Linked DNA regions of Oryctolagus cuniculus. The protein of the gene in region 1 purifies or fractionates together with the protein of each later gene. This does not show direct contact. Links are inferred from orthologs where the notes say so. Each region holds a gene or a part of one and is shown on either strand. Other genes may lie near its edges.

Region 1 (5,011 bases):
TGCCGGGGCTTCTTAAACAGCTGCTCTTCCTCGGGCACACCTGGCAGACAACAGCAGAGACGGCAGCAGGGCTCAGAGCGGGTGGACCTGGCCGGCTGCAGGCCAGCGGCCCGGGGGGACGGGAGCACATCCTCCCAGCCAAGTCCCTCCCAGCTGCAGGGAAGCCGGACGCCCCCACTCAGTTCCACATCCACGGACACGCCTCCCGCTTCGAGAAGCCAGGGAAGCACGTTCACCCGTGACGGCCAGTGCAGACCGGCCCAGTCTCCCACACGCACGCACACACACACACACGCGCGCGCGCGCGAGGCTGCACCTCCCTCTTCAGGCACCAGGGGCACAGCCACTCACCCTCTGGGTAGTACATGAGGGAGTTCTTGGCCTTGTACTTCCAGGTCTCCACGCCGGACTGGCTGCTCTCGATGGCCTGGCGCTCTGCTGATGGGAGTGCAAGGTTATCTTTCTGTCTCTGCAAGCACATGGGGGAAAGTTGAGGCTCACAGGGGTCCTGGCCCTGGGACGCCCTCTCCCCAGACAGGGGCCCCTGCACCCCTGCGCCCCAGCGTCACCTTCTCAAACTCCTCCTCGGCCTGGTACAGCCAGGCGTGGCGGGCTCGGTTCTTCTCCTTAGCCACCTCCATGATCTCCTGGAAGGAGGCGTTGTCCTCGCTGGTGTAGCGGCTCAGGAAGACATCCAGGCTGGGCAGCGGCTCCTTCTCTTCCTCTTCCTCTCCAGCCTCTCCTGCTTGGGGTTACAGACAGGGCACGCGGTACACAACCAGCACAGACACCACTCTTCACTCAGCAGGGAGAGCAGCGCCCGGTCCCGGGAACAATGCTGGGAGCAGGGCTGGCATCCGCACAACCCTGGGCCTGGGCGCTGCCCGTGAGGGCCCACACTGCCCGAGGAGGCCCCCTTGAGCTCGGTGTCCGCCCACCGACTGCCCAGGAGCATCTGAGGGCACGCTACAGATGCCTGGTCAGCTGCACTCACCTGCTGGGTACTAACAGAACCCTGGGACCTGATTCAGACTAGGGGGCCAGGTTGGGCATCATCTTTTGCCAGTCCTAGAAGACCTAACCTCCAAAGCGCCTAGCCGTCTCCTTCCCTCCTTAGGATGTCCTTACCCTAACTACTCTTCCTTCTCTTTTGTTGTTCTAGGCCCCGAGGGCAGGGACCCCTATGAGCCAGCGTTCTGGATGAGGCCTTGCGGGTGTGGGGCCAACTGCCCGGGGGTGAACACACACCGTGGCACCTGTGCTACTGCAGCAGGCTGCGGACTAGAGCCTGACAGCCAACGGCACCTTGTCCACCTACACGTGCATGGACGCCGGAGACCTGACTGTGGTGTGGGGGCCACTTAAACTCGGCTCTTCCCTGGAACACTCCCTTCTCACAGCTGGGATGTGTGACCCACGCCCCGGGGAAGTATGGTGGGAGAGACCTCATTCACACGCAGCGAAAGCACACAGCCCCCACCCAAGACGGAGGGGAAGGTGGCTGAGGAGGGCGGCGATGACCTAGACAGATGCCTTTCTCCATGACATGTCCTAAACACACACACACACAACAAGCAAGCAAGCAACAAGCACAGAGGCCCTGAGATGCCTTCAGGAGGTAAGGAGGAGGGGGAGCCCGCAGGGTGGGAGCTGGCCAACCCGACACTGACCTTTAGTGGCCCAGGGGCCAAGGGCTGCCTCACCCGTGGGCCCTGGGACAAGATGTGATGTACAGCCCCTTGGACCACCCCCACCCAGGGGCACACGGGGGAGGGGTCTCCCAGGCGATCCTGGCTACGTGACTGGAAGCTGAGCACCCTTACCATCCTCCAGGCCTCGGCCCCGGGGCCTGAGCTTGCTGCCCACCGCGGCAGTGCCTGTGTGCACCTCGGGGGTTTCAAACGTGGCTGGGGTCACATCTGGGAGGGGGGAGAAGGGAGGTAGGGATTAGAGTGAGTGAGGCAACTGCTCAGCGGGTTCTCCTCTCCCTGCCCCCGACCCCCACAAGGTCCTCTTACAAGGTGGCGGGGGTTCTCGGGACATCTTGCCCAGGGCAGAGCCAAACTTGATGGCGATCTGGCGCATCCGTTCCAAATCGCCATTCTCCTCGGCCTCCAGGTACTCCTTCTGGGCCTGCAGCTTCTCCACGTCGGGAAAGAAATCTCTCTGGATGACCGCCTGCAGGCCCTGTCAACAACAGAACGGAGCTGCCCACCAGGGTTCTCGGTCAACCCCCTTTCACGTGCCTGCTGAACGGCGGGGCTTCGTCAGAGGAGCCTGGGGCCCTGTGACTCTGCCGCAACACCCAACATTACTGCTCCGTCGTCTTTCCCGCCACTGACTGGTCCTTCTCATTCTCCCTTCGCCCGCTGTATCCACACATCCCGGGGGCAACCCTCTACTTTCTTTTTTTCTTTGACAGGCAGAGTGGAGAGAGAGAGAAACGTCTTCCTTTACCATTGGTTCACCCTCCAGTGGCCACTGCAGCCGGCGCGCTGCGGCTGGTGCCTGGAGCTGATCTGAAGCCAGGAGCCAGGTGCTTCTCCTGGTCTCCCATGGGGTGCAGGGCCCAAGCACCTGGGCCATCCTCCACTGCACTCCCTGGCCACAGCAGAGAGCTGGCCTGGAAGAGGGGCAACCGCGACAGAATCCTGTGCCCCGACCAGGACTAGAACTCGGGGTGCCGGCGCCGCAGGCAGAGGATTAGCCTAGTGAGCCGCGGCGCCGGCCCAACCCTCTACTTTCAGGCCAAATTCCCTTCCGCCGGAGAGTGCCGAGGCTGCTGCAGCCCCAGCCAGAGAGACCTTGCGCCTGAGCTGCACACCTGCCAGCCGGCGGTCCCCCGGTGCCACCCGCCAGCCAAAACCAAGCCGGCTTCCTCCCATCACCGCGTAGCTCCTTCCACTGCGCGCGCACGGGGGGACCACACCTACTGCACGGGCGCCAGAGACCACTGGCTCAGTGATGCCACCGCAACCGCAGGACCCTGTCGCCGCTCTCTAGAAACCCCTCATCGTCTGTCACGCCCCCCCTCGCGCGTCCACACAACACTTTAATGTCCTGAACTCCCAACCACAAACGCACGCAGGCGCCCCCTCTCCAAACGCCTCTTCCATCAAGCCCCCCTCCCGCTACACCGTTTAATTGGCTCTCGGGGCTGGCCAGAGCCCCCCACCCCAGCCCCCAAGGACGGGGCCCCGGCTGTTTCACTTCCACGAAGGGACCGAAATGCCAACACAGGAGACAAGGGACCCGAGAGGAGCGCAAAGTGGCAGCGGGAGCCGGAAGTCGGCGGCGTCCGCCCTGCGGTCGCACCTCGATATACTCTTCCTCGTCCAGCACTCGCTGCTTGCTGGGCGCGGCCCCAGAATCCCCCGCCGCGCGCTTCTTCGGCTGTCCGGAGGCAGCCGGGAGCAACAAGGCCCGGGTCCCTGAGCCCGGCGTCTCCATCTCTATCCCAGCACCGCTCAGAGGCTGCACAGGCGTGTCTTAGGGGCGGGACTGCACCGTGTGCGCAGGCGCCTTGAGCAGCTGGCCAATGGCGAAGCTGTGCGTTTGTAACGAGGGCCCGCGCACAGTACTGACGTCAGGAGGAGCGCAGCGCCTTCTGGGAGTTGTAGTGTTGGACATGTCCCGTGGCGTTCGCGCGCGTCTGGGCTGTGAGCACGCGGGGGCGCTGTGAAATTTCAGCACGGAGGAATCGGAATTGATCACAGACCACAAACAAATGTACGCTTCATCGTCATGAACAAAAACATAGGCTTCAGAAAACTTGGTTAGGTGCGCATTGCAGACTTTATGCAAGAAAAGCACTCCAGGACAATTCTTTCTGGATTGCTACCTAACACAGGGTTTAAAAAAAAAAAAAAAAGTGGCTCAGGAAGAGTTTGAACTTGGGGAGCAGTGCCCTGGCGGGGAACGTCCCCGAGGGAAACAGCAGCTGGCTGTAGATCCAAAGAATGAATGTACAGGCGTGAGCGACCAAGGGCTGGAAGAGCTTGTGCACAGACACAGTGGCCCAGCAGGTCCCCAAGGACACCTCTGGATATGCAGAGTGCAGTGGACCGCGAGGGGAAAACAGACACAGGGCCAGGCTGCCGCAGGGCCTCTTGGGTCCCCGTGAGGAGTTCTGTCTTTATTCTGCAGGAAAAGGGGAGCCAGGGGTGCAGGTGGGCACGACTGGACACAGTTGCAATGGTCAAGGAAAGAGGTGGGGGTCATTGGAGCTGCACAGAAGGAAGACTGATTTAGGGGTCAAAAATTTCCCTGCTGGGACCAGCGCTGTGGTTCAGCAGGTTAAAGCCCCGGCCTGTAGCGCCAGCATCGCATCTGGGCACCGATTCCAACATAAAGGAGCCTGGAAGGGGGGAGGGGTGCTGTCCCAGCCTGCAGGGGAGCTGACCGGGCCACAGTCACATCCACAGATAAGCCAACTCAAGTTTCCAAGGACAAGAGTAGAGCCTTGTGACAACCGGGGGAGGCGTGGGCACGGGAGGGAGTGGACAGAGGAGCTACCTGTCCTGCAGGCATCTGGCAGGGTTAGGGCAGCTCTGGCCAGGGACACCAGAGCCGCTGGCCAGGCTTGGCTTGTCCAACCCCTACTGCTGTCCTAGTTTGGATGGCTGCACTGTGTCCCTGCAGGTACCGCCACTCCCCCACCCCCACCCCGCGCACCCCCAGGACCACGGGAAGAGACAGGAACAGGATGCTGAAGCTAGGGGAAGGGCTTCTAGGAACTTCTAGAAGCCTTGTTGGCACGCTGTCCATCACCCTGTGGTTCAGGATGGTGGAAGAACAGAAGGAGGAGGCGTTTGTCCAGGAAGTGGGGAGCAATCTCCCCAACCCACCCTCCTCCTGCCCCACCCAAGGAGGGAGGCAGATCACTTCTCCCTACCCCCCCCCCCAGCATGAAATTCCCCAGGTGGAGGCACCGAGGACCTCCACCCAAGAAGCAGCACTTGGAAGCCAGCGCAGGGAGATCCCCGAGGGTGCCCGGTCACCGTCCCGGGAG
Region 2 (4,533 bases), on another chromosome or scaffold:
AAAAAACTGTTAAGCCAATCCTAGTTCTAATGAGACCAGACCATTAAAACAAAAAACAAAGAACTCCTTCAGACATAGCAACTTAAGACAGCTTTTAAAATAGAGGTTGTCTTTTTTAATATGACACAAATATATACAATCTTTAACATACATATTTATGTAATCTGCCCTCCCTTCAATTCACAACTTAGTCTGTTCCTTGGTTACCTTCCAGCTACATATTACAAGCTTAAGCTAGGAATAAAAATAACTTCAATATTAACTAAAATGATATGTGAAGTGGGAAGGGAAATCTGTCAATACTAGTTAGCAACAATTTAAAATTCAATTTTTCTAGAATAGACATTACATTTATGTATCACAGGCTATGCATCTGCTTCCCTAGAAATAGTAATTTTTAAAAATCTACCAATTTCAAACATCATCTGTGAAAGAAGACATTGCTCTGCAAAGTTCCATCATTCATTATAATCACCAGAGGCTCTAGACTAGAGTCAAATGATGAAACAAGACCAAGGCACTTGTGTTTAATTTTAGCCTTTTCATGGCTCAGCTCTAAAAGAAACACCCTTATCTCTATAAATTCCATAGGGTAACTGTAAATTCCATAGCTGCAGAGGTTAAATGGTCCAAATGGCATCTTATAGGACAATTTAGACTAAAATTAGGCATGAGAGTATAACAAAAATTATATTGAATAAGAACCTCATTCTACAATATCTGGAAGGCATACCTTATTTTCTTTGTATCTACTGAGATCTGCTATGCAGTATTCCTTGAATAATTTATCATAGTATTTCTTTGCAAGTCTCTTCTCCCTAGATCCACAAAAATATAAATATTATACACTTAGAAATTCAACTATAGTCCACTGCTTGGAAGCAATGTCACATAAATAACGCATATGATATAAATATTAATGTTTTAAAAGAGGCCTATTACTTACATATGCATAGAATAGCTGGATATTAACTATTAATGGTGGTTCTCAGGGAGAGAAACTTAAGGATAGTTAGAAATGAGAAAAACAATTAATCTTTACTTTTTACCTTTTGGATTTCTTATACAATTTTCAGGTATTACTTTTCCTAAAATATTTTAGAAGTTTTAAAAGAAAGCATGTTACAAAACAAGGCACAACATTATTAAAAAAGGTCATTTTTTTTTAAATTTTTTAATTTTTTTGACAGGCAGAGTGGACAGTGAGAGAGAGAGAGACAGAGAGAAAGGTCTTCCTTTGCCATTGGTTCACCCTCCAATGGCCGCCGCACGCTGCTGCCGGCGCACCGCGCTGATCCGATGGCAGGAGCCAGGTACTTATCCTGGTCTCCCATGGGGTGCAGGGCCCAAGGACTTGGGCCATCCTCCACTGCACTCCCTGGCCACAGCAGAGAGCTGGCCTGGAAGAGGGGCAACTGGGACAGAATCCGGCGCCCCGACAGGGACTAGAACCTGGTGTGCCGGTGCCGCAAGGCGGAGGATTAGCTTAGTGAGCCACGGCACCGGCCAGAAAGGTCATTTTTTAATAACTAAGTCAAGGAATGAGAAATCAGTAAAAAGTCAGATAGTGACAAAGTCTGAAAACAGCAGAGACAGGACTAAAGCATTTGATGCATTATGCTTGATGTCAAAAATTACCACGTCATGTCTACTTCATCCTCTTCATTCCATAGGAATTTATGATTTTCTCGTATAACATCCAAATCGGTCTTGTCATTTTCCCTGGAAAATAAGAGTATTGCAATCTAATATAAAAATAAAATTAGTCACATTTAGGAGGTTAAACAGTTCTGCTGATTTTTTTGAAAACTTGAATAAAACATGATACATAAAAATAGTTTTAAGTGAGTATATACACATATTTATAAAAACTACATCAGTATTTTCAAAAGGCACTCTTAAAGAATGCTGCTATAGAAGCAGGTTAAATGGATACAGAATCCTTCCATCTCCAGTACTGGGCTCAATTTCACAAACAGTGCTAAGTTACCAAAGCTGGGATGAGAAACCTAAATAAACACTAAATAAGTAAAGCAAATGAAAATAAGTTTCAGGATCTAACCAAAAGTCAGTAATATTATTTTATTAAGATCTAATTTTTAAAAGTATAAAAAGTTTTCCATACTTCATTCTACTAGTTTCCTAGGAAGACTGAGTAAGGGGAATAAAATTGAAAGAGATGATCTCTCAAGATCAATGCTGACAGTCTAGAAGTAGAGTAAATGATTGTTAGAGGACATAGGATAATGATAGAGGAGATAAACTTGGGGTAGATGAGATAGTACTAAAGTTTCTTAGGGCACTATCAGAGTAGAAAAAAGTCAGAGGAAGGAAAAAAAAAATCTATGCAAAATCAAGACATTTGAATAGAAAAGCCAAAGATACAGGAAAGACTCGTGTGTGAGAAAGGTGAGGTTGCTTGTTTGTTCTATCTGAAACATTCTCAAACATTCAAGTCTACAAATTTCATTACTTCAAAGATCCTTTCCAATAAGACACACAAATATTCCTCATATACCCTGTATTGCCAGGGTTGTAGCTAGCTCAAGAGGTAAGTAGGTAACCTGAGGCCTGCCGCCAAAGAAATGGGATTCATGAAAAGCTATTTAGCTAGAAGCTGTGGATGACCTCTCCACCTTGTGATACAACAAGAAAACTGGATAGAAAGTAGGGAGAGAGTGAAAATGCAGTCAAAAGATACAGTAGCTGTGTGTCTTTAAAGTCACCCACACAGTCCTCTCATTTTAGGTCAGCTTCATGATACTTACCCCAAACGTCTGAAGTCTTCTTTTTTGCCACCATAGTATAAAATATAGTCATTTACGAACTTCGTATGCCTTTGATACTGAAATGCAAACAATTAAGGATGGTACTCACTTAGGATTTGTTCTGTGTCATGATATATTACCAAGTGAAAAAAAAAAAAGCATGAGTTTATTTAGCTTTTTATTATTATGCAAATATGTACTATACGTGCTTATACATTCAAAAAATCTACAAGGGCATATATTGAAATTTTTTTTTTTTTTTTGACAGGCAGAGTGGACAGTGAGAGAGAGAGAGACAGAGAAAGGTCTTCCTTTGCCATTGGTTCACCCTCCAATGGCCGCCGCACGCTGCTGCCGGCGCACCGCGCTGATCCGATGGCAGGAGCCAGGTACTTATCCTGGTCTCCCATGGGGTGCAGGGCCCAAGCACTTGGGCCATCCTCCACTGCACTCCCTGGCCACAGCAGAGAGCTGGCCTGGAAGAGGGGCAACCGGCATAGAATCCGGCGCCCCGACCGGGGCTAGAACTCGGTGTGCCGGCACCGCAAGGTGGAGGATTAGCCTAGTGAGCCGCGGTGCCAGCTATATTGAATTGTTAAGAATGAAGATTGTAAGCCGGCGCCGCTATATTGAATTATTAAGAATGAAGATTGTAAGCCGGCGCAGCGGCTCACTAGGCTAATCCTCCGCCTTGCGGCGCCCACACACCGGGTTCTAGTCCCAGTCAGGGCGCCGGATTCTGTCCCGGTTGCCCCTCTTCCAGGCCAGCTCTCTGCTGTGGCCAGGGAGTGCAGTGGAGGATGGCCCAAGTCCTTGGGCCCTGCACCCCATGGGAGACCAGGATAAGTACCTGGCTCCTGGCTCCTGGCTTCAGATCAGTGCGGTGCGCCGGCCACGGCGGTTGGAGGGTGAACCAACGGCAAAAGGAAGACCTTTCTCTCTGTCTCTCTCTCACTGTTCACTCTGCCTGTCCAAAAAAAAAAAAAAAAAAAAAAAAAAAGAATGAAGATTGTAAAGTAAGACTTTCGTTTTCTACTGAATACAATTTATAACGTCTGGAATATTTTGCAAACACATACCACTCTTCTGATCAAACATATTTCCAAGTAGGGAGAAAGAGAGCTTCCTATTCTATTGTTGGACGATAGCCTCACACCACTGCTCATTCTAATAATTATAGTGGGAAAAATAAATAAATTATGTTTTCTAAAATTAAGGGTAAGAAGCAGAATATACTTTTCATCATTATAAAAGTCAGCTATTTCAGTAATAAAGTTTCTGAAGATGCTACTTCTCTAATATTAAATCCTAAAATGGGTGCCAGTTTTGAGTCACAGCTGCTCCTTTTCCGATCCAGCTCTCTGCTATTGCCTGGGATAGCAGTGGAAGATGGCCCAAGTCTTTGGGCCCCTGCACCCACGTGGGAGACCAGGCAGAAGCTCCTGGCTTCAGATAGGCTCAGCTCCAGCCATTACAGAGTTGCAGTTTTCTGTGTTACAACTGTTATAGCCTTTCCTCTCATGTGGGGTCACAGCATCTCCTCTCTGCTGGATTCACTGAGTGTTGCCTCTCTTCTCTGCCAAGTTCTTTGTCTCGTGACCATGAAGAATGAGCACGTGGACAAGGAAGAGCGAGCAAAGGAAGTTTATTTAAGAGCAAGCAAAGTGAAGGAAGTTTATTTAAAGAAGCAGAGAAAGTGTCCAACATCTGGGAGAGACTGCCCTGCAAGGGTCTGCTTGTCAGGACTGCCTGGGTTGGACTTTTA

The links.
Region 2: the proteins of ESS2 (region 1) and protein FRA10AC1 purify together in Homo sapiens (co-immunoprecipitation; 3 studies listed by BioGRID and IntAct, counting the BioPlex papers as one, with this or other methods). This does not show direct contact. The link is inferred for Oryctolagus cuniculus from reciprocal best matches to the Homo sapiens genes ESS2 and FRA10AC1.

What each region holds. Positions count from the first base shown.
Region 1 is NC_091452.1:26,941,565-26,946,575, forward strand, and holds the start of ESS2 (splicing factor ESS-2 homolog), read right to left. Parts: upstream 3,502-5,011; 5' UTR 3,451-3,501; coding exon 3,316-3,450; intron 2,188-3,315; coding exon 2,019-2,187; intron 1,920-2,018; coding exon 1,824-1,919; intron 746-1,823; coding exon 570-745; intron 470-569; coding exon 352-469; intron 41-351; coding exon 1-40. UniProt on the Homo sapiens protein: May be involved in pre-mRNA splicing.
Region 2 is NC_091446.1:37,010,325-37,014,857, reverse strand, and holds part of protein FRA10AC1, read right to left. Parts: intron 2,846-4,533; coding exon 2,769-2,845; intron 1,723-2,768; coding exon 1,639-1,722; intron 819-1,638; coding exon 734-818; intron 1-733. UniProt on the Homo sapiens protein: May be involved in pre-mRNA splicing.